Linked DNA regions of Drosophila melanogaster. The protein of the gene in region 1 interacts with the protein of each later gene in a biochemical or structural test. Each region holds a gene or a part of one and is shown on either strand. Other genes may lie near its edges. The genes, in order: Nedd8 and Den1.

What was found.
Region 2: the proteins of Nedd8 (region 1) and Den1 form a complex in vitro, tested with the Drosophila melanogaster proteins (one study listed by BioGRID).

What each region holds. Positions count from the first base shown.
Region 1 is NT_033779.5:18,950,267-18,953,522, forward strand, and holds Nedd8 (Nedd8 ubiquitin like modifier), read right to left. Parts: upstream 1,572-3,256; 5' UTR 1,450-1,571; coding exon 1,432-1,449; intron 1,272-1,431; coding exon 1,141-1,271; intron 1,081-1,140; coding exon 975-1,080; 3' UTR 740-974; downstream 1-739. Other genes in the region: CG10428 (uncharacterized protein), read left to right, coding at 1-658; CG10621 (uncharacterized protein), read right to left, coding at 2,073-2,731, 2,892-3,071, 3,138-3,256. UniProt on the Drosophila melanogaster protein: Ubiquitin-like protein which plays an important role in cell cycle control, embryogenesis and neurogenesis. Covalent attachment to its substrates requires prior activation by the E1 complex Uba3-Ula1 and linkage to the E2 enzyme UbcE2M.
Region 2 is NT_033778.4:12,336,186-12,340,097, forward strand, and holds Den1 (deneddylase 1), read left to right. Parts: upstream 1-2,114; 5' UTR 2,115-2,234; coding exon 2,235-2,263; intron 2,264-2,347; coding exon 2,348-3,068; 3' UTR 3,069-3,359; downstream 3,360-3,912. Other genes in the region: CG34021 (uncharacterized protein), read left to right, coding at 802-1,083, 1,153-1,356; CG8839 (uncharacterized protein), read right to left, coding at 3,708-3,912.

The DNA.
Region 1 (3,256 bases):
GCGCAAGAGGCAGCAGCTAGAGAACTTGGCCAATGCGGTGGTTTCCCTGGCTCAACCGGGCGACCGCATTGTGGACTTCTGCAGCGGCACAGGGCATTTGGCCATACTGCTGGCCCTCAAGCTGCCAAATTGTACCATTATTGTGATGGAAAACAAAGCTTTCTCCCTGCTTCAAGCTCAGAAAAGATCAAACGAATTGGGTTTGACCAACTGCGTTTTTTACCAATGCAACATAGATTACTTTGTCGGAGGATTCAAGATCGGGGCCTCTTTGCACGCGTGTGGAACGGCGACAGATATCGTTTTGCAGCAGTGCCGGAGAGCCAAGGCACATTTTGTTTGCTGTCCTTGCTGCTACGGTTCTCTGCAGCCCATGCCTCACATTTCGTACCCATTGAGCAAAGCGTTCCAAAAGGTGTTAGACACAAAGGACTACTTGTACATTGCCCACTCGGCAGATCAGGCACACGAGATGGGGACAACCAACTGCAAGCCAGAAACCACGCTTCAAGGACTCCACTGCATGTCCGTGGTGGACACCGATCGCCTGCTGCAGGCGGAGGAGGCGGGCTACCAGGTCATTCTCACACGCTTAAAGCCCGAACAGTGTACGCCAAAGAATCACCTGCTAGTCGGACGTTTTGTTAAACAGAACTGAACTTACAATCTGCCACTGAGACAAAATAAATGCCTTTTTGATATGTTTTAAACCTTAGCCCACCATTGTGGAGTGTTCTTCTTTTTTTCGAATGATTTAGATGTTGGCTTACAAAAAAACATGTTTTATTACGGACCCGGTTGGCCCCAATCCATTCTGTCTAAATTCCTCCGATGCGAATACACTTTGTTTTCTTCTAAACCACTTTTAAGACTTCTTTTTAGTTTACATATATTAATTCTCCATATGACGCTTCTCAAGCTTAATATATTTGAGTGAATTTTAAATGAATGTTTTCCACTTATGAACACGCTAGTTACACACAAGGTGTTAGGATTGAATCACCTCCTCGCAGAGCCAATACCAAGTGAAGAACGGATCCACCTTGCACTTTGTAGTCCGCCGCGGTTTTATCGTCATTCCTGGGGGGGATCGCATGCGAAATAAGCTAAAATCAATGACCAATAGCCAGAAAGACTCACATTTGCTTGCCGGAGAAAATAAGACGCTGTTGCTGGGGCGGAATGCCTTCCTTTTCCTCCACGCGCTCCTTGATGCGATCTACCTTGTCCGTGGGCTCAATGTCGATCTCGATTTCCTTGCCGGTCAGGGTCTAATGGAAAGATAATACATATTTACATTAATAATCCAGCCACACATATATTGACTGTAATATTCGACGATTTTGTTGTTGTTCAAAGTGCCCGCTGGGCACGATGGCTGTGATTTATCTTTATCCTACTTTTTTGCTACTCCATATCTTCCACACTAACCTTCACTTTGATCAACATTTTGTGTGTATTTAACTAGGCGCTCCTGTACAAATTCAAAATTGCCGAAATTTTTGCAAATCTCCACAGCTGGTTCTCTTTTTTGGCTGTCACTTTCGGCGTTGGTACGACTGGCAACTATCGATAGTACTGTCGATGACCATCGATTGTTTTCCACACTATTACAAATATAGTATTTTCTCCATCATTCCATCTCTACACAATTCACGTGTAAAAAAATACATTTCGAAAAAGGAGAACTTAATTTATGTAAATTTTTTGTAGCTTGATTTATAGTGTGCCCATTACGGTTAGAAGTCTCACATATTTAGAATTCAAATTCTCCTTAAATTATTTTACTCATGAGATGCAAAAATCCATTGAATGCCATTACTACATTTTTTAACTTTTGAAAAAAATGGAAGGCGTCACTTTTGAGGGATTTGAATTAAGAGCAATTTGTTTATTAATGTTTTATCTCGGATCTTAGAAAATTAAAAAGTATTTTTTTGTCTTTTGTCTTTTCTGTTTTATTAAAATAAGTTGTATGCCTTAATAACTAAATACATTTATTTACAGTACTAAATGGATAACTACTTTGTTCTTTTCGAAGGTACTGAGATCCCCAGCTTAGAAGTTCATCCCTATGAGAGCTTCTTCAGTTTGTTCCAGTCGCGAATGGCCTCCCCGATGTGGCGTATATCCCTCGCATAAGTGCGACAGCATCCCCCAATGACCTTGGCCCCCAGTTGCGCCCACTCCGGAACGTAGTTCGCCAAGGGCACACAGTGCTCCCTTCCCTGCCAGCCGTTGACCACGTCGTATACCTCTCCGCTATTGGGGTACACCACCAACGGTATCTGCTCACCCACTTCGCGGTCACCATTCAAACTCTTAAAGAGCGGGGTCACAAACTTCGGATGCACACAATTTACTCCGATGGCCAGGCACTTATCCTGGGCATTTCGTTCAGCCAAGAGGTCCCAAATAGCATTCGCCGCGTCCGCAAAGGTTTCTCCATGCGCCAGGGTATTCTCATCCTTGCACTGGAAGGCCACCCAGAACTTCACATCCGGATAATCATCGCACAGCATCTCCACCAGGGCCTCCGCCTCCATTTGACAGGGAATCGTCTCGATGGCCAGCGCATCCACACCAGCCTCCAAGCACGCTTCGATCCTCACGCGATGCCAGTCCGTAATCTCCTTGGCCGGCACAAAGTCGGCATAGCTACCGGTGTACTCGGAGCCATCGTGCAGGTGGGCCCCAAAGGGTCCAATGGAGGCAATGATCAAAGGGTATCCTTTAAAAACAATAAATTGGAATATATAATTGGTAAATATTACTATATATAAAATAAAGTATTAAAGAAAGTATTAAAAGTAATGACCCTACCACATCATTCACTTGACCACAATCTAAATTAATCCCGCCCGAGCTGGACCTCATGGATGTCAACTTACCCTCCTGCACCGACAGCTGCGCCTGATAGCACTCGGTGAGATAGCGTTCCTTGGCGATGTGGGCCAGGCGGACCGTGTTCTTTATCAGCTCGATGCTCTGCTCCTCGTCCAGCTCCAGGTACTCCATGTAACCATCGACACTGGACTGGTAGGTGTTGGTCAAAATGATATCGGCACCATCTGGTGTTGTCAAGGGGAAAATTCAGTTAGTATGTTGCCAATTGCTACCGGAAAACAATTGCTTACTCTGCAAAAAGTCCAGGTGGGTGCTGATAATGGCCGCCGGATTGGTGGCATTGAAGCGGGCACTCCATAGCGGATCCCCATCCACAGAGTCACCCACATGGACGGTCATCTGGGTGCCG
Region 2 (3,912 bases), on another chromosome or scaffold:
AGCCCGACACACTCAGGTTCAACCAAATATACATATCTATATATATACATACATACACAATTTGTAAGAAGCAACATATTAAAAAACATTCCTCTTCAATATTATTCAAGACAATTTAAAATTCGTTTTGCTTAAACAGATTTATTTACGACTTGCTTGCTTACTTGCTATGATTTTCTGCGCACTTTGCTAAAATTAGTCATTTGGCATAGACCTCGCATCACCCGATGTAGCCGTGATCGTCTAGTGGTTAGGACCCCACGTTGTGGCCGTGGTAACCCAGGTTCGAATCCTGGTCACGGCAATGTTGAAACAAACATTGTCACGGAGTTGGGTATTTTTTTACACTCTAATTATTTTGATGAAAATGAAAATAATTATTAAACAAATTGAAATGATATATAAATAAATGATAAAACATGTTTTTGCTAATCTTATTATTTGATTTTCTATTTGATTTGGGGTAGTGTTTACTAATTACATCTGCAATTTTTTTTTATTAGGTGACGTGGTGGGATCTTGGAATTGCTGGGCGCAATCCAATGTAGCCGTGATCGTCTAGTGGTTAGGACCCCACGTTGTGGGTTACCACACCCAGGTTCGAATCCTGGTCACGGCAATGTTCAAATAAACATTGTCACGGAGTTGGGTTATTTTTTATTTTTAAGCTTGGAATTGGCTATTTTGTACAAAATGTTGGTTATCGAAAACTCGTTGAGTTTTAAGTCCACAAGCACCAATGAACGAAATACTTCAAAATAATTAAAATTTGAAAATATACATTTTTCTGGCAAAGTGAATATGGATGTCACGAAAACATCAAGCGCTGAGGAAACCGAAAACACGGAAAATACTAGTCATGCTAAAAACATTAACGAAAACGTATCAAAATTTTATGAAACTATTGGAAATATTTCCCGAAATATGCGCAAGGACGATTGGACATATCTACAACGCCATCCAGAGATCCGAGCCATAATTCGGGTCATTACAGCCGAGGCGGTTAAGGCAAAGCCATCGAATATCTACCAATTTACAGCCAATTTATTTGGAAGCGAAAGAGACGAGGAGATGGTAGAAAAGGCAATAATTTTTGTTTGCATATTTACATAAATGAAAAAAAAAACGCTTAAAAGAATTGTAATTTTCTAGATAAACAAGCAACTTAAGTGGTTGGAAGAGCAGTTGCGAGGGGGTACGTGGAATCCTGACGAAGGATGTGCCCCGTTTCCAGAATCCAGCGAGACTTCTTCGGAAACTAAATGCCAAACTAATTTTAATACCACTGCGAGTTTCAACATACCCGAAAAGCAAGTTTGCCCTGAAAATTATAAGCCAGATTGCAAGAAATGTTAAAAATGTGAACTTAATAAATTCAAAAAAAAAAAATTCAGATTGCAAGAAATGTTAAAAATGTGAACTTAATAAATTCAAAAAAAAAAAAAATCAGATTGCAAGAAATGTTAAAAATGTGAACTTAATAAATTCAAAAAACTTTTTAAAAGGAATAAAAAATATTTGTAATTAAATTATACATATTTAAATTACTTTTTATAACTTTGCCACATTAGGCAACACTGCATTTCACAGTCTGCACTGCCACCTATTTAGCGAGCAGTCTGGCAGCCCAAGCCAGAAAGTAAGATATACAGTACGGCGACTTATTATTTGAGCGGAAAAGCGGAAAAACTATTCAGAGTGTTGTGTAACTTTTTATATTAGTGAAAATATCAGTTGGTAAATTCAAGTTATTTGCTCCCAAACAGCCAAATAAATGGTAATACGCGAGGAGTGTCCAAAGAACGGACAAAAAGCGAGGTCGCGACTTCGAGGAGGAGGAGTAGCCATTTTTCGTGGTGAGTAAAAAATATATATGTGGGGATCTGACCACCACCTTCACCTCCTCAGTGTCCTCTATTTTGTTTTGCTACGCCCATTCGTTGTCAAAGACAATAACAAAACAGCTTTGTACGAAGATTAGTTAATTTCGATATGTTTATTTTGGTTTAAAATACGATTATAGTGTTCTTAAAATGCGCTTGGCATGACTGATTTCTGATTGCTTTGAAACCACAACAATAACAACAGTACCGGCCGGCAAACGAAAGGGAAAGCAAAAGCAAAAGGAAACCGAAAACGTCATTCCTGCGTTGACTTTGAAACCCTGGAGTTGTATTAGTCGCCGGAAAAATTTTATTCTTTTAGCCGAATTTTCGCGAAGATTGTTAGTGAAAATGTTGCCCCACGATAGGAAAATACTTAGGTGATAGTCGCCAGCTGGAACAACACGAATCTAGTCGCAACAACATGATTTAAATCAATTTTTTGCCATTTATTTTCATTCCAGGCAACATACACGCCAGAACCAGAATACGAATCGCCGGCGCCCCAGATTCACCAACAATAGCTTCCATACCAAAATGGGCAGCAACTCCAAGGCAGACCCCATCTCGCTGACCTTCCACGACTCCTGCCTGCGGATGTCCGACGTCCAGTTGCTCCACGGCCCGCACTGGCTGAACGACCAGATCCTGAGCTTCTACTACGAATACCTGGCCCACATGAAGTACAAGACCAATGCGGATCTGCACTTCATTGCGCCGGAGATTACGCAGTGTATGAAGTACATGGGCGACCAGGAGCTGAAGCAGCTTCTCGACCAGAGCAACACCACTGGCAAGCCCTTTATCTTCTTCGCGCTGAACGACAACGAAACCACCGATGCTGGTGGCAGCCACTGGTCACTGTTGGTCTTCTCGCGTCCGGAGAAGACCTTCTATCACTTCGATTCGTATGGGAACAACAACACGGGCAACTCCCTGGAGCTGATGAACAAGATCAAGGACCTGCTTGGCGTCCGAATGGCCAAATTCCGGCCCATGCGCTGCCTACAGCAGGCGAACGGCTACGACTGTGGCATCCATGTTATCTGCATGACCGACCACATTGCCGATTACCTAAACAGATACGAGGTGATCGACGGACTGCCGTCGCTGCACATCGACACCGTGAAGGCGAAGCGCACCGAGCTACTGAAACTCATCCTGTCGCTGGGCGGCAAGGGCTAGAGGCTAGCGAGGATTGCCCTGCCGAACCGCCCACAGCCGAGTAGTTTTTAAGTGACCAAATTACGAATGTAACTCGTTGCCGAAGAATGAGAGGAGCATCGGAATTACATATGTGAATACGATATCCATGATATCGCTAGTTGTAGTGGGTTTAGTTTTCCTTGCCGAATGAAAATGTTTAAAAAACAAAAGCAAACTAAAAGCAATTGAGGCGGTGAGTCGGCATATTTTTAAGGTTGGTCTTTCAAAATAAAGATTTGTTTAGCCACAAAACGCGTTGGCTTCGAATTCAGAATTCTGACTTCTCTGCTTGTTTGGTCAATGGGCGCCTGTCGCCAATTAATGAAAACAAAGATATCAGTTGGTTGCAATTATTTATTATAAATGCAAAACGGGAACGGATCCGCGCGGATCTATGATTAGATTACATTTAAAAACACATACAAAATAGATAAATCCACATCGAAAATTGATATTACAATGAGGCACTGGAGTACACAAGGAATACCTTTCATCGCCAGGCGAATGCTCGGGTGGGTAGGGGTAGTTAGTAATGGGTGGGGGGAGACCAGGACGTTAACCTGACCACTACTATCTAAAAGCTAGCTAAGCTGCATACTTGCACGTTTGAGACTGCTCCTAGAGCCGAACTTCGGGCTTGGCCCAACCGCCAAAGGCTCGCTCCAATTCCTCGGCAACGGCCAAACAAAGTCGATCCTGATTGAAGTTGGCGATGATTTGGACACCCAGTGGCAGACCCTCGCTGCCCAGCTTGCCCAGCGGCACAGCGGTGGCCGGGAAGCCCAGCACATTGACAATACCAGTGTAGGCAAAGTTAATGGGT